Linked DNA regions of Pelodiscus sinensis. The protein of the gene in region 1 interacts with the protein of each later gene in a pairwise test. Links are inferred from orthologs where the notes say so. Each region holds a gene or a part of one and is shown on either strand. Other genes may lie near its edges.

What was found.
Region 2: the proteins of NAB2 (region 1) and NEDD9 interact in binary tests that used the Homo sapiens proteins (3 or more experiments, as listed by UniProt). The two-hybrid records come from large-scale screens. The link is inferred for Pelodiscus sinensis from reciprocal best matches to the Homo sapiens genes NAB2 and NEDD9.

Annotation. Positions count from the first base shown.
Region 1 is NC_134729.1:3,394,169-3,406,962, forward strand, and holds the start of NAB2 (NGFI-A-binding protein 2), read right to left. Parts: upstream 5,939-12,794; 5' UTR 5,769-5,938; coding exon 5,705-5,768; intron 3,288-5,704; coding exon 2,485-3,287; intron 2,099-2,484; coding exon 1,965-2,098; intron 1,529-1,964; coding exon 1,477-1,528; intron 1,131-1,476; coding exon 998-1,130; intron 826-997; coding exon 625-825; intron 1-624. UniProt on the Homo sapiens protein: Acts as a transcriptional repressor for zinc finger transcription factors EGR1 and EGR2. Isoform 2 lacks repression ability.
Region 2 is NC_134712.1:110,154,028-110,165,902, reverse strand, and holds the start of NEDD9 (enhancer of filamentation 1), read right to left. Parts: upstream 6,017-11,875; 5' UTR 5,447-6,016; coding exon 5,435-5,446; intron 1-5,434. UniProt on the Homo sapiens protein: Scaffolding protein which plays a central coordinating role for tyrosine-kinase-based signaling related to cell adhesion. As a focal adhesion protein, plays a role in embryonic fibroblast migration.

The DNA.
Region 1 (12,794 bases):
GGTCAGCCCGGCGGAGCTCCCCCGCCCCCCCCCCCCCGACTGCTCCTAGCAGCAGGCTGGCCCTGGGGGAGCCCCATGGGAGCACCTGCTGGCTGGGGGGGGGGGAGCCTGCAGGGTAGCGAGCTGGGCCCTGGCCAGTCACCCCCCCCCCAGCGTCCGACTCCCGCAGGCCTGTCCTACCCCCCCCTTGACTCTGACAGAGCTGCCTTCTCAGGAGAAACCCCCCCCCCCTCCCGCCAGACTCAGTGGGATTCCCAGGACGTCACCCGCCCCCGCCTGCCCCCGCCGCCCCCACTTCCTTCCTCCCCTGCGTGGGGGGCGGGGGCAGGGGGGGGAATTTCCACCACAGCGTCTTTTTTCCATTCAGTAACTGGGGAGACTAAGAGCAAAGCACAGAGCTGGGCCCAGGCTCCAGCTCCCCACTCCCGCCCCCCGGCCCTGCCGGTGCCCCCCACTCCTGCCCCCCAGGCCATAGCACACCTGGTCTCTCCCGGCCGTCTAGCCTGAGCTGGGTGCGGGGAACGCCGTGTGGGCAAGGCTGACTCATCCCCCTTCAGGCCCCACCCCCCTCCGGAGCCTGCCCTGGCCCCGTGACCCCCTTCCCACCCCACAGGGGCAGCTCACCTGGGCCTGGGGACTTGCCTGGCAGGCAGGGGCTGAGATGCCCGCCACGTTCGTGGGATACCAGCCGGGCCAGGCGCAGCCCCTCGTCCATCAGCGTCTGCTGCAGGATGTGGCGGCTCCAGAGCCCGTGGGGGGGCAGGCTGAGGGGCAGGTCGGGGGCGGCGCTGGGGGGTGGCGTGAGGCGGGGGCAGGTGCTCACAGCTGTCGAGAGAGTGAGTGTCAGTGGCCGGGGGGGGGAGATATGAGGCAAGTCCCAGGGATCTCTGCCCCCCCCAGGGCAGCTATGGGGGTGGGAGCACAAGCAGCCTCCCCCCCCATAATGCAAGGCAGAAGGGGGGGGTCCGTGTTCCTCCCCCCGATGCTCCCCACTCACCCTGCAGGTGCCCGTCCAGGCTCTCTCCAGACAGGCTGGCCGCGTCCTCGTCCAGACTGGCTCTGTAGGGGGGCGCGTAGGCCTCCGAGCCCCCCGGCAGCTGCAGGGGTTCGGGGCGGCTCTGCTCACCCACCTGCAGGGCGAGCGGGGGATTAGGGGGGGCGGGATGGGGCAGAGCATAGACAGCACCGCCGGGCCCGCAGGCCCAGGATGGGATTCAGCCGGACCCCTCCCCAGGTGGGCACAGGTGCCAGGCCCCCCCCCCCCCCCCCCACTGCTGGCTCCGCGCAGAGAGCCCTGGCTATTGGGGCTGGCTTGGAGCCTGGGGGGCCGTGGCTAAGGCGGGGGAGACACCCCGCCGGGGCAGTCGCTCTTGCTGCTCCACTGCTGCGCCCGCGCCCCCAGAGCCGGCATCGGCCCCGCTCAGCTGCACCCCGCGGCACAGGCATGTCCCCTCCCCCCCCGCACCCAGCACCCACCTCCTGCTTCAGCCTCTTGGGCTGCGCGGCGCCACTCTCGTCCGGGTGCGACCTGCGGGAAACAGGTCGGTATCAGGGGCCGCCCGCGGGGCCTTCCTCGGGGCAGGAGGAGCCAGGCGGCTAAGATGCTGCTCCGGCTTGGCTGCCGGTCGCACCCCGGGTGGGGACAGAGCCAGGCAGCGCTGGAGGGGCAGGGCCGGGGGGGCGGCTGGCTCGACAGGAGCAGAAAGTCCCCCGCGGGGAAAGGCGGCTGAGGGGCAGATGGAAGGGGCAGGGCAGCTCCGCGGGGGCAGGAGTCTCCCGACAGCCTGACTCCCCCCCCACCCCATGCCCAGTTCCTCCTCCCACTGCCCGCCCCCCCCCCCCCACTTTCCACCCCCGCGCTCCTCCCCTCTGCACCTCCCTGCCCGCCCCCTGCTCTGCCGAGGGATGCCCCAGCCTGGATCCCGCAGGAGGGATTTCCCGGGGCGGGGAGGAGCCCGGCTCACCTGGCTCCCTTGAGCGAGGACAGGTAGGTGCTCTCCCGGGCCACCTGGCGCGACAGGGAGAAGAGCTCCACGCGACGCAGCAGCAGCGTGTGGTCCCGCAAGCAGAACTGCGCAGCCGCCTCGTTGATAGTCAGCTGGGGGGCGGGGAGGGGCGGAGACGAGGCTGTTAGCGGGAGGGGGTGGAGCCGATCCCCCCTAGGGGGTGGAGCCGATCCCCCCTAGGGGGTGGAGCCCAGCATTAGGCTGGGAAGGAGACGAGTCGGCAGGGAGGCCCCCGAGGAGCCTCAATGCCGGGGTGAGGGGCAGAGCTGGGAACTGGGGGCCGATGGGAAAAAGGTACAAGGAAGGATCCAGGGAGGGGCAGCAAGGGGGGCAGGGGCAGGAATAGAACCCAGGCTCCCAACCTGCCTCCCACCCCCCGCTCTCACCGCCACCCATCAGCTGCGCCGTCCCACCCCAGAGGTGGCTGCATTCTGGGGAACGGGGCGAGGGCCCCCCTGTTCCCCCCCCCGTGGCTCACCTCGTGCAGCGTGAGGGGCTTGCCGTCGCGGCGCCGGGCCTCGCCCCGCCCGTAGATGGCGCTGTGCCGCCGGATCTCCTCCTCCCGGCGCCGGTCGCCCTCCTCCAGCTGGAAGATGTGCCCCACCGCCTTGGCCAGCTTCTTGTTGAGCTTCATGAGGGCCCGGAGCTCGGCCTCGCCCCCCCGCGGGCAGCTCTGCAGCAGCCGCTCCACACCCTCCGCCACCGTCCGCGCCAGCTCCGGGTCCAGCTGCTCCGGCGCCGGCTCCCCGCCCCCCGGCGAGAAAGGGGGCGGCCCCCCGTCCTCCTCCGCCCCGCCCCCCTCCAACTCCGGGGTGCTGCGCCCCGGCCACTGGGGGGCCGAGAGAGGGGACAGCTTCTCCCCCAGCTCCGAGGGGCTGCGGGCGGGCGGCGTGGCCAGCCCAGCGCCCCCTTTCCCCGGGGCCTCCCCGGGGCTGGCGTGCCCGTTGCTGAGCGACTTGCGCCCCCCGCTCTCGGAGATCTTGAAGAGGGGGATGCTGCTGACGGGCAGGGAGGCCATGGGCTGGCTGAAGAGGCCGGGGTTGGAGGCCCACTCCCTCAGGGCCTTCTGCAGGCGCCGGACGTGCAGGGGCTTGGTGGCCATGCCCACCAGCGCCATGATCTCCAGGAACTCCTCCTCGCCCGCCTCGCACAGCTGCTGCACGTCATCCCCGCCCTGCTGGATGAAGGTCTCGTAGTAGGAGAGCAGGTTCGCTCGCTGCAGCACGCGGTACAGCTGCAGCTCGCCCAGGGTGCGGGGCAGGGCCATGGCGAGGGGCAGGCCTGTGAGGGGAAGAGGGGACATCAGGGCCAGAGCAGGGCGATGGGGGGAGGCGAGCGGAGAACCAGCGGCCGCTTCCCCGCACTGCCTGGCCGCAATCCCCCACTGCGCTCTGCACTGCACCCCGCCAATTCCTCCACCCTCGCCTCCCTGCACTGCATGGCTGCAATCCCACACTGCATTCTGCACTGCACCCCGCACTGCACCCCGCCGATTCTCCCACCCTCGCCTCCCTGCGCTGCATGGCCGCAATCCCCCACTGCGCTCTGCACTGCACCCCGCCAATTCTCCCACCCTCGCCTCCCTGCACTGCATGGCTGCAATCCCACACTGCATTCTGCACTGCACCCTGCCGATTCTCCCACCCTCGCCTCCCTGCGCTGCATGGCTGCAATCCCACACTGCATTCTGCACTGCACCCCGCCAATTCTCCCACCCTCGCCTCCCTGTGCTGCATGGCCGCAATCCCCCACTGCACTCTGCACTGCACCCCGCCAGTTCTCCCACCCTCGCCTCCCTGCGCTGCATGGCCGCAATCCCCCACTGCGCTCTGCACTGCACCCCGCCAATTCTCCCACCCTCGCCTCCCTGCACTGCATGGCCGCAATCCCCCACTGCATTCTGCACTGCACCCCGCCAATTCTCCCACCCTTGCCTCCCTGCACTGCATGGCTGCAATCCCGCACTGCACTCTGCACTGCACCCGCCCAATCTTCCCGCCCTGCGCCTAGCACCCTCGCCTCTCTGCACTGCATGGTGCAATCCCGCACTGCTCCCTACACTGCACCTGCCCAATTTTTCCATCCTGCACCTAGCACCCTCACCTCTCTACACTGCATGGTGCAATCCCCCACTGCTTTCTGCACTGCACCCTGCCAGTCCTCCCACCCCGCGCCTAGCACCCTCACCTCCCTGCACTGCACGGCTCCAATTCCCCACTGCTTTCTGCATTGCACCCCACCAATATTCTTTCCCTCACCTCTTCATGGTTCGTGGCTGTAACCCTCCACTGCATTCCACACTGCATCCCCCCCCCAAACCCGTTGCACCCTCCCCCCCACGTCCACCAGCTTCCCAGGTCTGCATCCAGCATCCTCACCTCCTTGCACTACAGGGAAGCAACTTCCCACTGCACTCTACCAACCTCCCTGCACTGCATGGCTCTAAACCCTACCCCTTCCCACTGCACCCAACCAACTTCTCTGCACTGTACCTAGCACCCTAACCTTCCTGCACTGACTTGCTGCAACCCTCCTCGTCACGCTGCACTGTTCTCCACCAGCTTGCCCGTTCCCCTCTGCACTGCACCTGCCCAATTTTCCCACCCTACACCTAGCACCCGAGCCTCCCCGCACTGCATGGTTGCAATCCCTGCTGCACTCTGCACTGCACCCCGCCAGTCCTCCCACCCTGCGCCTAGCACCCTCACCTTCCTGCACTGCGGGCAGCAGCCTCCCCTCACTGGATTCCACACTGCACCCTACCAGTGTCCCCCCCAACTGCACCCAGTACCTCCTTCACACTCTCCCAGTGCCATCCAGCCCCCCCCCCCCAGTATTTTTGCAGAGGGCTCTCGCTAAGGGGCAGTGCCCCATGTCCTCAGAGAGAATCCTGCTTTTCTCAGTGCCACTGGGACCTGAGATACACATGGCTCCAGATGGCGAGAATGCCGCCCCCCCCCCGGGTGCCAGCACCCCAAGGAGCCGGGGCAGTTGGCAACCAGCTTGGAGAGCCTGATCCACTGATCACCCCTCTCCACAGCCCCCTGGCCAGCCCCACTCCCACGCAATCTGGAGGGTCTTTCTCCTTCAACCAAGAGACATCCCCGCACCCAGCCTCTGCCCCCTCCCCCGGAAATGTCTGTGTGGCAATGCCCCCCCCCCCAGACAGGGGTGCTGGGGGTACATGGCAGCTCCATCCCTGAATGGGGAAGGAAGAAGACCCCAGCCCCTCCCCCATCCACTTTCCCCAGCATCCCAGATCCCTGCTCAGGTGCCTTATTCCCATCCCCCCAGGCCCACATCCCAGCAAGACGCTCTGAGCAGTGTGTTGGGGGGGGGGGGGGTACAGTCCCGAGACCCCCCCCCCCCCAGCTCTGCTCTGACTTTGCTGGTCAACTAGCCCCTCCCCCAAGCCCAGTGGCACTCTGACCAGCTCCTACCCAAGCTTCCCTCCCCAGGACCAGACCGACCCCCCCCCAGCTCACCTCCTGCCCCTCTTCCTGCCCCCTGTGCCCCCAGCACTGCCCCTCCCCCACTCCTCAATACCCGAAATTATCCTGTGCCTGCCCCCCAGCGCCAGCCAGCACCCCCCCCCTCCCGTGCCAACCCCACTTCCAGCCCCCCGCCCCCGGCTCCCCCCTGCCAGGCCCCACCCCGCGCCAGCCCCCGCCCCCATGTGCCAGCCCCCCCTCGCTTACTGGCCTGGCTGGAGCTGCGCCCGGCCGCTCTCGCTCCCAGCTCCGCGGCGCCTCGCCCGGGCATGGACGGCGGCGGGGGGCCGGGCGGGGGCTCTCCGGGGTCCCCGCTGCCCCGGACCGGCTGGATCGCGCCGCGCTCCCGGCTCGGCACCGGCCGCTCGCTCGCTCGCTGCCTCCGCCGCTGCGCTCTGCGCGCCGCCCACACGCGATTTACAGAGAAATAGCAGCGCCCGGCTGCGCGGCGCGGCGCGTGGGAGGCTCCGGGGGCGGGACCCAGCGGCGCCTCCCTCCGCCGGCCCCCGGAGCGGGCCGGGCCGATCGGCCGAGGGGTCGGAAGCGGGGGGCGCGGGGCGCAGGCCGGGGGGAGCGCAGGGGGAAGAGGGCGGGTGTGGGGGAAAGGGCGCAGGGGGAGTGGGCGCCCCGGGGGGAAGGGAGAGGGGGCGGGGGACGGATGAAGGGGGGGATCCCAGGGGGAGGAGTCCGGAGGGAAGGGGCGCAGGGAGAGTGGAGGGCCCAAGGGGAAGAGGGAGGCGCGGGGGATGGGGCCCAGGGGAAGAAGGGTGCGGGCTGGGGGGGACCCAGGGGGAGGAGGGTGCGGGCTGGGGGGGGCAGGGGAGGAGAGTGCGGGCTGGGGGGCGCAGGGGAAGGAGGGTGCGGGCTGGGGGGGGCAGGGGAGGAGGGTGCGGGCTGGGGGGCGCAGGGGAAGGAGGGTGCGGGCTGGGGGGGGCAGGGGAGGAGGGTGCGGGCTGGGGGGCGCAGGGGGAGGAGGGTGCGGGCTGGGGGGGGCAGGGGAGGAGGGTGCGGGCTGGGGGGCGCAGGGGAAGGAGGGTGCGGGCTGGGGGGGGCAGGGGAGGAGGGTGCGGGCTGGGGGGCGCAGGGGGAGGAGGGTGCGGGCTGGGGGGGACCCAGGGGGAGGAGGGTGCGGGCTGGGGTGTGCAGGGGGAGGAGGGTGCAGGCCGGGCCGAGCGCAGGGGGAAGAGGGAGGGCGCGGAGGAAGGGACATAGGGGAGAAGGGTGCGGGCTGGGAGGGTGCAGGGGGACGAGGGTGTGGGCTGGGGGGCTGAGGGGAGGAGGGTGTGGGCCAGGCGGAGCGCAGGGGGAAGAGGGAGGGCGCGGGGGATGGGGCCCGGGGGAGGAGACGGGGAGGAGGGAGGGCACAGAGGAAGGGACATAGGGGAGAAGGGTGCGGGCTGAGGGGAACACAGGGGGAGGAGGGGGGGCACAGAGGAAGGGACATAGGGGAGAAGGGTGCGGGCTGGGGGGAACACAGGGGGAGGAGGGGGGGCACAGAGGAAGGGACATAGGGGAGAAGGGTTGCGGCTCCCCTCTCATACCCCTCAATACCCAGGTGGGGTGGGGGGGCCTGGGCAGTGCCTAGGCCCCCCCACCAACGGGCTCAAAGCTGGGGCTCAGTCTTAGCCTGGTACGCAGTGCAGCATCCCCCCTATATATCGCTTCCCCCCCCCCGTGAGAAGAACCCCTTCATGGCTGGGGTGCCATTGCCAGAGCCTGTCCCCTCCCATGCATCCTGCTGGGTACCCCGTGTCCCATCCCCCTGTGGCTGCTGTCCCGGCTAGACGGATAAAAGCCTTCTGTTGCTGCCAGCCAAGCCCCCCCCCCCCCCCCCCACAGCGCCTTTTGTGTGGACAGCCCCAGGTTCAGAAGCGGGGAGGAGGAGCAGGGGCCTGGCCGGGCCCTCGGCGCAGCCCACATGTGCCGTGTGGGCTCTGGGCTTTGCGGGGGCGGAGGGAGAAGTGATTCATCTTGGTAGCAGAGAGGTCACGGTGTGGATTGTTTCTGCCCCCTCCTTCCCTTTGCGGCGGGAGGGGAGGTGTCCCGAGATGGGAGCAGGTGCCTGTGAGGGGGAGGTAGGAGGCAGGAGCCTAGCACAGGACCCAACCCCTCCTCCCCCATTAGACGTTCGGGGCCCCTGACATCCATTAGATCAACCTCCCGGCTGCTCTCACTTACGCCCCTCTCCCCATGCCCCTGGGATGCAGAGAATACCCACAATGCACTGTGCTCTGGCCGGGCCTGCCATTTGCCACAGGCCGGAGGGGCCCCTGTGTGGGGCTGGAGGGGGGCCCGGGCCCCGTTGTCCCTATGTGTGTGGTGCTGGTGCAGCCAAGAGGGGCACAAGGCCTCGTCCCTTCCCAGTTGCCCCTGCTTGGTGGCTCGGTGACAGAGAAAGTGGCTCTGGGACTGGACCGGTGTTGTGGGAAAGCTTCGGTTCATGCGCATCCCTGGTTGCTATAGTAACCCTGAGCATCATCTAGGCATTGATGTGGTTAACACAGGGCCCTTGGAAGCACACGTGTAGCTAGGCCCAGCGCGGATGGCAACAGCTGGATGTCCAGGGCCCCCCTTATCTGGGGGGCATGTGAGCTAATTTGAGGGGTGGGGTGAAGATACGGGGGAACCTATGCCCCCAGCATAGCAATGACATGGGGCACTTTTAGGGCATTGCTCAGTCTCAGCCGCATCTAAGCACCTGCTAGCAAATGAGGATGTTTTCATGGCCATCGTTAGGTTTCAGAGTCAACACTCCCACCCAGAGCCAAATGGCTGGTGCCAGTCGGCAGATGCTGTGGGTAATGGCGGGATGTCGAATGGTGGTTTGGCTTGAAATTGGGGATTTGTTCCAAACGAAGGCAGACTCACAAGTACAGCAGCTTGGGGCGCCATGTTCCTGGTGCATGGGTGCACACGCTGACTCCCGGGGCAGGGAGCCAATGAGTCCTGTTCTGCTCTGTCTCACTCCTCCCCCAGGGCACCCCCTTGTAGTCCGTGGGAATAGCTCAGCTCTGAAAGGGCTCTGCCTGGTTCTGTTCCCTGCATCTCAGCTGCTTCTGGGGTCTGCAGCCTCCTTGGCAGGTGGGGGGAGAATCTGGTTCTCCCAGAATACTGGGATGGAGCCAGCGTGGACGGGCCGTAGCCCTGTCGGGGTCAGTGGGTCTGGATCCTGGCTGGTGTGGGGCCGCATCCCCGTCGGGATCAGTGAGGCCGGGTCAGTCTGCTCCATTGCAGTTGGCGATGCCGAAGCGACGTCACTTCCCAGAGGCTGGGGATCTCGCCCCTAGTTCGTTGGTAACTCCTTGGGGTCTCCATTTGCACCCCTGTCCTGGCTGCCCTTCCCTGCAGGCCCCTCCTCCACTCCTCGTGGGTTGAAGTTTCTTTCTTCCCCCAAAGAACATCATGCCGCCCCCCACAGCAGGGCTGCGGTAGGGTCCCTGGCCATTGCTGCAGGAAGGAGCTGGGCGGCAGGGAGCTTGTGTGAAGTCGCAGGCCACGGCTGCCCCGGGGGCAAATCGGGAATCAGGGATGGGTGCTGGGTGGCCGAAGAGCTGATGGTCCCTGCGGCCTTTCCTTCCCCTTCCTGGTGCTGAGAGAGAGGAAATATCCGCCCCCCCCCCAGCCATGCCCCCTCCCCATTCCTCCCTCTCCCCTCCTGCACAGCCCTCTGTCCACCCCTGCCCATCCCCCACCCCTACCCCCTTGCTCCACTGCACCCACGTGGCTCATTCAGCCACGCTCCGGCAGCTATTCATAGCCCCACTCGGGTCCCTGGCGCAGGCTGGTGGCTCTGTGAGATGGCAGGGCCGGACTGCCTGGCGGGTGCTCAAATCCACCCACTCACGTCATGCCTCAGGAGCAGCATCTCCTGCTGGTCCCAGCTCCCCAGGGCCTCTGCCGGGCGCAGGCGGAGCTGGAACTGGCGGGGGATGGATGGCGAGGGCCCTGGAGGGGTTGTGTGTGACACGTGGGCACATGGACATGTATGGACTAACGGTGTGACTCCCGGCAGCTCCATGTACCCCGCAGCCCCCTGCCAGCCTCTCTGGGCTCCCCATCCCCCACTCCGCCGGTGCCCCCCACTCCCAACCTGCAGCCCCCTGCCAGCCTCTCTGGGTTCCCCATCCCCCACTCCGCCGGTGCCCCCCACTCCCAAACCGCAGCCCCCTGCCAGCCTCTCTCTGGGCTCCCCATCCCCCACTCCGCCGGTGCCCCCCACTCCCAACCCACAGCCCCCTGCCAGCCCATCTCTGGGCTCCCCATCCCCCACTCCGCCGGTGCCCCCCACTCCCAACCCGCAGCCCCCTGCCAGCCCTAGCACAGGCCCAGTAAATGTGGGGAGGGCTGGAGAGAACACCCAGGATTCCTGGCTGCCATTCCCTGCCACCCTATCTCCCTAGACCCCTCCCCACCCACACTCCTCCTGCGCTGGGCATGGTCCAACGCATCCTGGGCAGTGGGGTCCAAGCTGCTCCAGGCCCTTGTCACAATGTGGGGCTCAGGGTGCCCCCTGGGGGCTGTAAAGATTGGGGTGTGAAAGGATCTAGTCCCCCACGTGAGTCCATCTCTTCCCCACCCCGCGGGGATCAGGGCAGCTGCATGGGGCTGGGAGGTGTTAGATGTGGGGTTCTAGCCCCCCCAAGCGATGTGGAATCGCGCTCCCCCGGAGTGATCTGGAGTTCTGGCCCCCCAAGGATGTGCAATCGGGGTCCCCGAGGGATGTGGGGTTCTGGCCCCCCAAGGATGTGCAATCGGGGCCCCCGCGGGATGTGGGGCTCTGGCCCCCTAAGAATGTGCAATCGGGGCCCCCACGGGATGTGGGGCTCTGGCCCCCCAAGGATGTGCAATCGGGGCCCCCGAGGGATGCGGGGCTCTGGCCCCCCAGAACGACGTGAGGATCAAAGGCCGCCGCCCCGCTCCAGGAGCTATTTGGGGCTGGCCGGGCTGGAATTCACTGGCCCGGCCCCACGTGCTGCTCGCCCCCTCGCTGACGCACATCCCCCGCCCACGCGGCCGGAGCTGGCTCCGCTAGAGCCCGGCAGCCGCCCACGGGCCGGGCCCAGCTGAGGAGGGGGGGTGCCCAGCGGCCCCTGCAGCCCGCCAGCCGTTCCCGCTGCGCTCCCCTGCGGCACGCAGCTGCCTCCTGCTCCCACCACTGGGCCACACTCCCCTCCTGCAGCTGGGGAGGGAACCCGGAAGCCCTGGCTCCCAGCCCCCCCTTCTCTAACCACTGGGCCACACTCCCCTCCTGTCTCTGGAGAAGGGAACCCAGGAGCCCTGGCTCCCAGCCCCCCCTTCTCTAACCACTGGGTGACACTCCCCTCCTGTCTCTGGAGAAGGGAACCCAGGAGTCCTGGCTCCCAGCCCCCCCTTCTCTAACCACTGGGTGACACTCCCCTCCTGCCTCTGGAGAGGGGAACCCAGGAGTCCTGGCTCCCAGCCCCCCCTTCTCTAACCACTGGGCCACACTCCCCTCCTGTCTCTGGAGAAGGGAACCCAGGAGTCCTGGCTCCCAGCCCCCCCTTCTCTAACCACTGGGTGACACTCCCCTCCTGTCTCTGGAGAAGGGAACCCGGAAGTCCTGGCTCCCAGCCCCCCCTTCTCTAACCACTGGGTGACACTCCCCTCCTGTCTCTGGAGAAGGGAACCCAGGAGCCCTGGCTCCCAGCCCCCCCTTCTCTAACCACTGGGTGACACTCCCCTCCTGCCTCTGGAGAGGGGAACCCAGGAGTCCTGGCTCTGGGAGGGGAGCAGGGTTCACTGGTTAGAGCAGGAAACCAAATGTCTGGACCCCTGCGTTCAGTTCCCAGCTCTGGGGCTGGGGGGCAGGGAGTAGGAGGTTCAGGACTCCTGCGTTCTGTCCCTGGTAAGCTGTGAGCCCCCGCAGTGGCTGCACTGTGGGCAGCAAGTGGGCACAGCCCTGCCAGTTCCCTCAGCAAGAAAATATTTGGCATTAAAGTCCCGGGCGGGGGTTGGGAGCAGCAGGATCGCCAAGAATCTGCCTCCCCCCTCTGTGGAGCTACTGGGGGCTGCCCTCCCCCTCCGTTCTTTCATTTTCCATGTATGTCCCCCCCCCCCCATACACACACACTCCCTCCTCCAAGCCCAGCCTTCTTGCCTGGGCTGCCAGCTGCTGCATCTCTCCTCCCCCCCCCCCCAAATAAGGGCAACTGCATTTCAGTCCTGGGTCCCCTTACAAACAGCTGCCATACTGCAATCCAGAGGTGGCTGCCTCCCAGCACTGGGGGGGGGGGGGGAGGGGGGAGAAGATCCCTATATAGGAAGGTACCATGCTCCACCCCAGAAGTGGCTGCATCTCAATGCTGGGAGATTGATTCCTGTCCAAACTTACTGCCTGCCCCACTTTCCAGAGGGGTCCATTTCACCAGCAGATGCAGCAATTTGGGGACAAAATGTGGGAGTTTATTTGGGAGGGGGATGAAGTGGGAGAACTTCATGTATTAGGAATTACATCCTGGATCAAAATAAAACAAAGGCCAAGAGACGTAACGCTGATCGGATGGACCGGCCACATGGCGTAATGGATACAACACTCTGCTCCTTGCTCCACACACCTTGGCCAAACGCCTTCCCCCACCTCTGTGACTCAGTTTCCTCCCACACACACACGCAGCCCCTTTGTCAGTGGTAAATGCTTTGGGGGCAGTGACCGTCTCTCCCTGGATCTGGAATGGGGGTGGCCAGAGGTAATGCCCGTCTGCTCCCTTGGAGGTGCCCCTGCCAGGGGTTGGTGGGCCCCCTTGCTAATTTCAACCGTCTCCTCTCCCGCCCCCCGTGAAAAAGGCCTGTGCACCCACTCGTTCCTCCTCCCCTGGTAGGTGACGGCCAGGAGCCCAAAGCGCAGTGGCAACTGGAGCAGAGAGGAGGCGAGAGAGGGGGGCAACGCCCATGCTGTGCACCCGCCGTCCGTGCCACCCCTTGGCTTAGGGGAATGGCCCTTCGAGAAAAGCCCCGGGGTTTATATTTCAGGCAGGGAAAAGGCTTGTGAATTGCTTATTTTGCAACGAAAGGGGGTGGAGGAGCTCAAGCAATATTTTGACATCCATCACTGATGCCGCAGGGCTAGGAACAGCCAGCCCAAGTGGGGCTGGCACACAATAAGCACCGCCCGGCCCTTGCTAGGGTAGGTAACAAACCCCAGGGCCCTGTGCCAAGTGCCACGGTGCCTCACGATGGCAGCCCCGGATCGGTGCTGCCTGCAGCCCGGGGGAGGCTGCACGGAGTGGATGATTCATGGCAGCGCCGGCTGCTGTTTGCGGGAGCGTCCTGGGTGTTT
Region 2 (11,875 bases), on another chromosome or scaffold:
AAGGCTACTAACCCCTTTGGTCTTCTCCAGGCCATTGGCAGAAAGTCAGTACCACCATTGATTTGTTCATTGCTACTGCCTTCTCTGTGATGTCAAAGATAACTACTGCTTTCATAACCTCCTTCCCCTACATTAAGGTGCACAAACCCTTCAAAGCACCCATAGAGAAGCATTGCATGGTTGCTAAGACTGCACACTGTTCATTCACATTCACCCAACATGCATCCATTTGTACTGCCCCTCTCCACTGATATGAGGGTCAGCGTGGTTTTCTATCATTACTCAGGTAAAACTTCCATTGAATGTAATGGGAATCATTCTGGAGTAAAGGCTGCAGTGTTAGGCCCATGGCCCAATATGAATTCAAGCATGTATGTGTTGTATAATATGAGAAGGAGTCAATTTTTAAATTCTTATTTGGAAAACTTTTTAAGGGGGGATAGGCTCAAAACTGAACCAGATTTGCAAGGATTGTTGTCTTCCAGAAGTGTATGCAACTTGCATTTGTTCAGTTTGTTAGTGCTAAATTGGCTTCTAATTAGAAAATCTTTCATGTCAACAGTACTGATTTCCAGACCGTTAAAAATCAGTAAGAAAAATTGCTTAAAAGTTCATCATATTCCTTTTTTTTTTGTTATGAGTACGATGCTGTGCCCTTTAAGACATGAAGTGACTAAAGCGGTCTAAACGCTGAGTGTTGCTTGGTAGACTGAAGGTTGGTTTTTAAACTTTGGTGGTTAGTGTGCTCTGTGATGTGACTTTTTTTGCTAAGGTCTTACTAACCTTATTTACTGCCGTCACAGGTTGGTGTCAAGGTAAACAAAAGGGTTTTGGTCAGTAAAATACAGGCCGTTCTTTTCCCTTCATGTAGTCAAATAATTTGCTGTTCATTGTTTGGGCTACAAATAGCTTTTCACAAGCATTTCTGGTTGGAAATACGGTATTTCTTCCAAGTGGCACTATTTGTTTGACTTGGCATGCAGGCTTTGTAATTAAGTGTATATATTACTGCCCAGTTCAAATGGCAGGCATTTCAAACCAATTTGTTTAGGTTCCTTTCTTGCCAACACATTATTTAAAATGGAAAATCAAAACCTCATACTATACATTCTCACCATTCTTACTGGTTTAAATGAGATGTGGAATGCAGTCATGCCCTCTTCCTCCCTCCCCCAATACAGATACCCCTTTGAGTGCTGTAACAAACTTCCCCTCCCCTTTCTTTTCAGTGTTGCTTGTGGTTGGCAAATAGCTATCCAAGACTTGTTAGCACAGTACTCCTTCCATTATGTCACAGTATGTCTAATCATGGCAGCACCTGATTACATTTTCATTTCCCTAGAGAAAAGTTTTAGTAATGGAGACTTTGTCCTCAGAATCATAGGTGGTTTGGATTCAGCAATTAAGAATTCAGTCTTTTGAAGTATATAATATCAAGATTCTATGGGAAGTAATATGGCATAGATGGATGAAAAAGAACTTGAGGTATGCCACAATACCATCATAATGTAATGGCATTTATATTTGAGAGAATCTTTCATACAAAATTACAAAACATTTCAGTCAATATGCAAATATATACAACACAGCTTGCAATATATCATGAAGTACACTTGATAGAACACAGGTGAAAGGTATAAGGGAAGGTGAGTCTAATTAAATATTGGGAAACTAGGAGACTAATCATGGAGAACTGATTGAGATTTTTCTTCTATGCTTCTCTATCTACCCTACTGTCCAATTTAACTGAATTTGACTCAGGGCATGGAGTGGAGAATGGCAAAAAGAGGGGAAAAAAATTAGTGAAATCATGGCCTTATTAAAGTCAGTAGGAGTTTTACCACTGGCTTCAGTGAGGAAGTGGGGAGCAGAATTTCACCCCTGTTATTTTGTTCTCCATCTTGTTTCTCAAACAAGTTTAGGTCAAAAGAACAGTGAGCAAGGTGAGCAAATCCTTTTTTTTCAGTACCAGTCTGTTGGAGGAAGATGAGTGAGTGAAGTCCTTCCATCACTACCAAGCAACACTCCACATGGCGTATAATCATTGTCTCAGTCACCTCAATAAACAGAAGCTTCAGGGGGTAGCCCAGTTAGTCTATAAAGTGCTACCAGACCATTTGTTGTTGGGTTTTTTCTGTAACAGACTAACAAAACATGTAGATGGGATTATGAGCTTTTGCATCAGAAGAAGTGGGCTATGCCCACGAAAGCTCATGATACTGTCTACATGTTTTGTTAGTCTATAAAGTGCTGTTTTTTTTCAATGAACAAGACTCTTCTAATGTACAGGTAAGTTTAACACACACACAAACCCACCTGTCACCACTTACTGCATTTTGAAAACTACAGGAAGCTGTTTGTGAAACCAAGTCCACTTTATGCCTGGCATAAACACAACCTGTACACACACTTTCAAATCAAAAATTAAAATATTAATGTTTGTACTGTTTATCTTCTTCTCCCTAAAATAAGCAATGAGCAAACAGATAAAAATATAAAATAAAATATATAGTCACATTAGGAAAAATTGTACAAGAAGGTAAAATGTATTTTCTTTGTAGTTTTCCCCAATATCTGAGAAATAGATCTCAGGATATTTGTCCTGGATAAACTGTTCAAATAAATACTCCAAACTTCCCATGAAATGTAAACACGTAGTCTGGCAGGAAGGTTTGTAGAGACCAAAAACCTTCTGTCTTTTTTTTTTTTTTAATAGTTTATTCTTTTTCTTTGTCTAGCCTGCTCCATCTAGATTGAATTACGTAATCCCCTTCCAAACCAAAGCCTTCAAACTAGACAGGAAAGGAACATTATAGAACTGGGAAGATTTCTGTTGTGGAAGTGGCTTATTTCAGTCTCTCAGTGCCTTGTGGCTAGTGTGAAATATGATCTCCTCACTGCTGTAGAGTTGTTTTTTTGGCAATGTGCAAGGGAGGGGAGGGAAGGGGAGGGTAGCAAAAAATTATAAGGAGTTGTATAACTGTGTAGGTCTGTCATTTTTTAAGTCACTATAGCTCATCATTTGTGAGAGGAAAATGTGTTTAATTAGTTAAAGATTAATGTTAACACGACAATTTCTACTAAGTGAAGCAGCAATTTCAGTGCATTCCTTATTTTGTTACATTATTTATCCATGTTCCCTCTGTGTGACTATTTCTCTAAAGCAGTATCAAATAATGATGGACCTGAACTATAAAGTTTAGGGGTATTTGTATCAGTGGTTTTGGCTCAGCCTATTACAACACAGAGCCAGCCATAGAGTTCAGATCTGAATTGGGAAGTTCTGAGAGTCGTTCTAGGTCATGTAAGACCCCCATCACTACGGTATCTGAATGCCACAGATGGAATCTGGGGTTCAGCTAATGATACAAATGAGAGATGGCCATGAAGTCTAGATCTAAATCTAAATTCTCCTAAAGACTGTGAGTGTTCAATTTCTTGAGAGTTTAGATTGAGCTCATCCTGAATAACAAATAAGAACACACACAGCTAAAAGTGAGTGAGAGTTTACATGTGTTATAGCTAGTATTTATTTGTATTCTGGTAGCTTTGGGAGGTTCCACTCTATAGGTTCTTAAACCACACTAATCACTTCCAGATTAGGGCTCCATGGTGCTAGGTATGGTACATATACAACAAAAAGATCTAAAAGAGCTTGCAGTCTGTGTGAATGTGTGTGATTTTTGTAATTCACCTTTGTATTGAACTTAATGAGGTTTTTTTTGGTGTGTGTGTGTGTGTGTGTGTGTGTGTGTGGCAGGGGGAATCAAAATATTCTTTTCCTCCCTCTTTCTGCAGTCACACAAGATTACTATATGTCTATACGTTAGTCTAATGCATCAATCCAGTACTCTGCCCAGATATTTATAATTTGTGTACCACTATGATTGATATATACATCAGTGCTTGATGTTTCTGTCTTTAAGTGGGTTGGTTGATTTGTTAAAGAGTGGAGAGAGGAACATGGTTCTAATTTCCAAATATATAATTGGTTTCTTGCTCCTAGCTAATTAAAACAAACCACGTTTAAAAAAAGCTTGTTCACATAAAACATTTGTTAAAGTGTAGAAAACAGGCTGATTATTTCATAGGGGGAAAACAACAATTTCTATGTTTATAAACAGTGCTGGATAATAATGCTGAACGTCACTTAGAAAGGGGTGGTGTGTGTGTGTGTGGGGGGGGGGTGTGTGTAAATATACACATTTTACATTTGAGGACACACGCACATATACATACACATGCACATTTTACATCCATCAATGTAAATGTCCTTGAGTATTCCAGTGAAACTCTGAAGTTGCTGCAATTATTATGCTGGTGCAAATGAAAGGAGAATTTTAGTCACTTGTTCAGATATGTATAGTACTGTACTTGCATCAAAAACAGTTATAGGAAAGTACATTCGATTTTGAAATCAAACCTAATTTAAAAAAGAGAATCTTTTCCCAGGTGTTCTCTCTATACTATACACTTTATTTTCCATTTAAGGGATCTTATTCTCCTGTCATTTGCACCACCGTGAATCTGGAGTAACTTCCCTTAACTTTAGTGCAATCAATTCAGTTTTTACACTGGAATATGAGGGATCAGAATTTGGTCCAGTAAATTCATGCGGAATCTTACCACATGCTGACTGAGTTAAGTTTTTTTCCCCCCTAGCCGCTCCTTTTCTAGATTATACTTTCATAATCTATGAGAAAACGGTCTTGCTTTTGGAAACAAAGTACCTACCAGTTAATATACTTAAACAACAATAAAAGGTCTGATAGCACTTTATAGACTAACAAAACATGTAGATGGTATCATGAGCTTTTGTGGGTACAGCCCACTTCTTCAGATGACTGGAGTTAAGTAAATATTTTGCCACCGATGAATGCAAGAAGCATTTTTACCAGGATTCATCAGAACTTTAACCTAATGCATGTATTACTCATGGTAGGTGTACCAGGCTTTCTACTACAAGCTCATTTTATTTTCAGACTAGACCAACTGCCCCGCAATTTTTTTTTCCCATTCAGAGCCCCAATATTAAGGATCTCAGAAAATGGTATGTAGAATTTTGGAAGATCTCCTTGAAACACACATGGCAAAGTCATTCACAACAGGAGGAGAGACTGAGACTGCCTTCGGATGAATCCAAAAATAAGCGAGTCTGAGATTTAGAAGCTGTGCTTTTCCATCTACGTTGAGCCACTGCTCTATCTGTAGTAGTTGCAGGAAAATGAGCTGGGAGTTTGCTTAGGGACAATCTGAAAAGAGTCTAAAAACTAGACAGAATTTAGGGTATTCAAGCAAAGTGCTCTATATCCATCGGATTTTGCACTGCGAGGAAACTGTCACTCAGAAGCCTTTTGGAACTGAAGATGTTAATGGCTCCCACCCCACATATATTTAATTAGAAAATTCCTTCAAAGAAACCCCTTTTCCTTACCTTATACTTCATATTTGCAGGCTTATATGGAGTAGTCTTGTACAACTAGACAAAACACATTGAGAGCGCAGGTTTTTTCCCACCCATTTAATGCCTTGCTGAACGAAACAAATATTCCCAGAATTGCAGTTGGTTTGCCAGGCTAATGTGAGAGTTCTTGGTACTGCAAAGTTCCCAGTGTCTCTGAGCTCACGTTGGACTTGTGGGAGGCAGGCTACTGAACTTCATTTGCATACATCCCAGCTATTGGCTAAGAGGGCAGAATTCCTGGGAGAAGGTAGCACGGATCCCAGCCACTCCTCAACTTTTTTTTTCCAAACTCCCCTTCTAACAAAAAACACTTAACACGAGAGTCTTCCGCGAAAGGAGAGGAGGGGGCGTGTGAGAGATTGAGGGTGAAATCTTTGAAAGATTAGCTTCGTGTTTTTGTTTTTTTTTAAAGAAATCGACTCACAAAACAAGTTCCGACAATCCCGTTTCCTGTGACCTAGCAACTCCTTCAATTTCATTTCAAAGCCATTCACCTCACAATCTCCACATGAAATGGACTGTGGGAACAAAAGCCTTTTTGTCTACAGTACTCTCTTTCCTCACCACCCCTGCTGATATCTTTTCTTGGTCGCTGTTGTGTTTTCTGGGTTCTTTTCAAGGTTCAAAGTGCTCTGGCTGTCAGATTGAAAGAAGCCCCTAAAATATTCTGTCGGACATGGCAGAGATTTGACACTAAAATTTACTCACACATGTACTCGGAACCTACACAGTTATTATAATGATCAAAATGTTCAGGGTGTTTTCCAGACAGAATAAAATGCATATGTTATTTAGATACAATATATATCTGGCAGCCACTCTTAGCTTAGATTAATGTTTAATATTAAATCTGTGCGCTCTCATGCTGCTTTTCCCCTCTCCTGTCAGCACTAATGCTCTAGAAGCGCACACTTGTATCTTTGTATTTTGAACAGCGAGGTTTTTCATTCCCGTTTTCCTGCTTAGTGAGATGGTCTGTTAACGGGCCAGTCATTATCTCTGGAATCAAAACGCTAAGTGTTCGCTTTGCATGGGAAAGGATTGTTATTTACATATTGATTAGACACGGGAGGGCAAGTTGGCTTTAATGTTCGCTGAGCCTGGTTTATACAGTGACCCGGGCATAATCAGTGGAGTTGGGTAGTAATTCCTTTGTGCTTGCTTGGAGGCCGGCAGTGCTTAATTTGTAATGGAAGAGGTGCTGGGCTGCAAGCAATTAGGTGACATGGCTTAAGAAGCTATTTATTTATTTATTTTTACTTTCATAACTGATTTGGACAGCCCAGAGGTACTGGGGCTGGGAAGTGCCAAGCCTAGGGACTAGCAATCCCTGACTCAAATTAAACTCTTAGGGCAGGACAGAGGAGTGAAGAAAATATGACTTAATAGTGCCATGCTCTGTAACTGGAAATGCCTCATCGGTCTTGGTGAACTCAGTCCAGAGACCAGCAATCCTTGAGGGAAGAACTCCACCTAAATTACCTGACCTGGAAAGACACTTTATAAAAAAAAAAAAAAAAAAAAAAACACTTCTGACCCATTTGGATTTCAGCTGAAATTCTAGGTCACAGATGGACTAGGACTGCTTCTAGTGGTCTAAGAAAAAAGAGGAAGAGAGTGTCTTCCATTGTGGAAATATAAAGATGACTCCATTTCCACAATGTGATAGAACCTGAGTAGTTTTCATGAGACTCAGCCTAGAGTAGCAAAGTCTCATTAAGCTTTTCATTATGCATGGAAAACATAATATTGTATGTCTGTCTGTCTCCATCCAGTGGCTTAGGCGGAGGAAGGTTTTTGCCTTCCCAAACTGCCAGCCTGGCCTCCTCCACACTCCACCCCCAGAATGGTTGCTTTAGGTGTTCTGGGGGCGGAGTGTTGCTGCCCCCAGTGTCCTCCCTCCCCATTGCTCCAAGGAAGCTGGGGTGCACATGCTCTTCCTCTCCCTATGGTGGAGGTGGGGCTTCAGCAGAGTAGACAGGGCTGTAGGTAGGGCTGGGGGCCTGCCTCCTGCAGCCCCAGCTGCACGGATCACCCATGTCTATCTGCTATATATCTGAGAGAGTTCATTTGTCTCTGAGAGTTCATTTGTTCAAGAGTTCCTCCTAAACAGTAAGGCTGTGTCTACACTGGCAAGTTATTCCGGAAAATCAGCCGCTTTTCTGGAAAAACTTGCCAGCTGTCTACACTGGCCACTTGAATTTCCGGGAAAGCACTCATGAGCTAATGTAAAATCATCAGTGCTTTTCTGGAAAAACTGTGCTGCTCCCATTTGGGCAAAAGTCTTTTTCCGGAAAACTGTTCCGGAAAAGGGCCAGTGTAGACAGCACAGTAGTGTTTTCCGCAAAAAAGCCCCGATCGCGAAAATGACGATCGGGGCTTTTTTGCGGAAAAGCGCGTCTAGAATGGCCACGGACGCTTTTCTGCAAAAAGTGCTTTTCCGGAAAAGCGTCCTGCCAATCTAGATGCGCTTTTTCCGAAAATGCTTTTAACGGAAAACTTTTCTGTTAAAAGCATTTCCAGAAAATCATGCCAGTGTAGACATAGCCTAAGAGGCAGGATCACCAAATTTGGTAGGCAGTTTCTTCTTATAACTTAAAGCAAGATCAGGGTTTGGTTGTGCCAGGACAATGGGATGTGCTGGAATGGGATTGCTTCTCAGAAAACCATACAGATAAGAGACAGAATCACCAGGCAGGTGAAAGGGACTGTCTGGGGGTTCCCTTCCCCTCCCCCCATTCATGACTGCCCGTCCCTGAGCTTCCCATCTCCCAGGCATCCTTTTAGGAGGGTGATGGAGGAGCTTAAGAGTCCCCCTGCTCTCCTCCCCCCAATTCATATAGTAATACTACTGGCTGTTTCCCTTCATCACAGAGGGACAGGAAAATGCAGTTTGCTGCATTCCAGGGGAGTGCAGGGGCGGGGGAGGGGGCGTACAAACTTGGACCCGCTCCAGCTGGGGGACATGCACCCTCCCCTGGCTCTGCCCACTGGAACTGCAGTGGCCATAGAGAGGTGCTTCTCAGCTGGTCACAAGCTGCTGTGGTGAGAATAGGCTGGTGCAGTCCTCTCTCCCTTCATACTGAACCCCTCATTCCCAGCCCCACCCTGAGCAATGATTTAAAGAAAAAACAAAAATCATTTGAAGACCTGAGCACAGCTGGGTACATCCTCTGGTTGTCCTAAACAGTACTTACATATACAGTGTAGCATTGTTGCAGAGAAGAGTATACTTCATTGTGTTAATTAAATGGTTTCCAATTTGCTTATTTACAAAGGATCTCATCCTACAATTGACTCTCTACCAGCACAATTGCAGGACTCAGACTATAAATTCACAAATTTCAGTAATCCACAAGAGGTGAACTAATCATTAATGAGGACTAGTGAGTTTCTGCTGTGTGTTCCAGTAAAGATATTTTAGAATCCTACCATGTTGCATTGTAATTGGGCTTATGGTATACAGTAGTACTCTGACACAACATTGCTTGGACTTCTGGTTTTGTTGCTTTGTTTATTCCTTGAAAGTTTTCAGAGAAATACTGTAGTGTGAATTAGTTTAGATGTGGAACAGTTATGCCATGTCAATTTACAAAATACTGACATGTTCAACAATTACCATGTGACATTGCTGTGGATGTTATGTGGAATTTATTCCTAATGGTTAATAAAACATCAAGAGCACTTACCCTGCTGAAGCGATTCTAACTAAAATTGTTTCTGCACTCACATAAATTAGAGCAAACAGCCAAGGATCTTTTTTTTTTTTTTTAATTGGATGGATAAATGAATCCCATAGACCTAGTGTAACTGCAGTGAAAGTCTGAGTGTCTTTTGTTTTGTGAGTCTTAACTCCTCTGATCTTTCTGCTTGACTCTCCGTGGCTTTTGAGAGGATATAAATGCTTCCTTCTTGGATACTCTCCTAAAGGAGGAAGGGTAATTGGGGAATTAATCTGAGATTTGGGAATTCCAGGTTCAATTCTTTGTTCCACCAGAGACTCCCTGTGTGGCCTTGGGCAAGCCTCTCTGTCCCTCAGTTTTCTCATCTACAATATGGGTATAATAATCTTTCCTCACAGGCATATTATGAGTATAAATACATTTCATTGTGAGACACCTAGGGATACTACACTAATAGGGACAAGTTAAGTACTTCAAATGCATAGACCTGTGTTACTGGCTTTTTCTAAACTCCTACCCACAATGTATCTGTTTCTCTATTGACACACCAATAATAATTGTAGCAGCATGCAAATGGTGCTTTTCATGTTGAAAGCACTTTACGGTCAGTGAGAACTAAACACTTGCAGGTTGTCAGATCTTTATGCATTGTGTATGAAGATTTATATCATGTTTATTTTAAATGTCCACTTTAAAGTGTCATTTTTAATGTATTCCCTACATATATGGTAATGGAAACTTTGCGTCAAAGGCAAAAAACAAGGAAGCAGTATATTAGTATGCATAGTGTGTATTAAAAGAGCTTGTATGCACTCTGCTAGAATGAAATTTTGGGGGTGTAAAAACCTCAAAGTCCATGTAGCCAACAATACTGAATGGGAGCTTGTAATCGTTATACTTAATTTTTTTTTAAAAGAAACACATGCATAAAGGAAAGCTGGATTTAAAAACTCAGTGGTCCCCCCACTACAGGAAAGCAGTATCTTATTGCTCTGTATTTTCAGACATGCTTTCCCTCTCTCTGGTGTACTCCATTTACCGTCTCAGGTTTGCTCTGAGGTTTGAGGTGGCTTTTACTTTTCCCAAGGGTGAAATGCTCCATCTTAAAGCAACACTGGTACCGCAGTCTGCAATACAGCAAAGTTTCCCCAACACAACAGCAATGTCAGAAATTAGATACAACTTGAAAGGGGCGTTAGTAAATGTGATCCTCTAACCCTGACACACTGCTGAAAAAAATCAGACCAAACTTTAGTTAGTACAGCTACTTAGCTTTTTCTTAATGACCTTGCAGATTGTAATGTCTTCACTGCATAATATTATATTACAAGCATAGTTTTGGAAAATTTTAACTCGATTGTCTTGGCAGACCAGCAACGTTATTCACTGTAACATGCTTATGAGACAAAACCCTGGCTTTATCAGGGTCAATAGAGTGGAGCCAATTTGCACTGTCAGGCCTGCATTTTTATATTTACAGAGCCCTATTTAAATTCTTAGGAGGGCGACCTATAGAAAGTGACCATTGAATCCGTTCTTCAGAGCACAGTCAATGGGCCTGATTGTTGCTACACTGCCAACTGTAGTGGAGAATAAATCCTATTCCTTCATTTGTGTCTGCATCCTTGTGTCTCTCTCTTCTTGAGTGCCAAATATGGTAGCCAGGTATTTACTGAATGGCATCCAGGAAGCAAGAGCCCTGTCAATGTCAGAGCTAGAACAGCTGAGTGTCAGGAAGGTTAGAGTGAATAGACTACATGGTCCATGACAAGCAGTCTGAATAACAGCTGTGAAAGAAGCAGGTCAGCCAGGGAGACTGGCAGGGCCTGTTGAAGCAAATCAGCAAAGAACAATCTCCCAATACAATTGATGGGAGAGGACCAGCAGATCATTTTAGAGGTAACTTAAACAAGCAAAAATATGCAAGTAGTTCCCGGATCCTTGTGCCCCCTTTGCCATGGGAAGCTAGAGAGAAACTAGGGTCTGCAGAAAGCCCTTTTGAGAGGCTGATGTCATTGTATGTGCACTGAGCTACCCTTCATCTGCACAAAGCCTGTCCATCAGACAGCATTACGTAACAGCAAGTAACATCTGCACCCTGTGCGACCTTGTTAGTGGGTTTAAGGATTTGGCTTACAATGAACATGGATATAGTGGCCCTGCATTTCACTGTGAAAATTATAGTTCTGATTGTATGGCAGATATCTACAGATGGGGCCTGATTCTTTAGGCTCTAGGCAAAGCACACCACCTTTGGCATAAGAAGTTGGTCTCTTGCCTTCCACCATTAGATATCCCTTCCACCATTTTGGCTGTGGATGGCACTTTGATCCATTAGATAAATTTGTTACTGTTTTTTATGAGGAAAATAACAAAAAAAATACTCTAGCCTGAGTAACCCCTTATTTCCCTCTTCTGTGCAGAACAGAGAGTCTGCAGAGAGGTTCCTTTATGCTGAAATGAAACTAAGACAAAGATTTTTTTATTTCCACCCAAGAAACTAAACTATTTGAGGGAAATTCACCAAGTAATTAGTGTTTCAGCAAAGCGTGCACAGAAAAATTCTCCCTTTTGGCCAATGATGGGATTTTCCCCCCGTCCTCCCACTCATCGCTAGTAATGGACAGACAGACATAAACAATTCATTACATAAAACTGCTATGAGAACCTGTCTTGCTAGAAGAGTTATGAGCAGTGGTTTCCTGTAAAGGCCAAGTTCATATGCAAA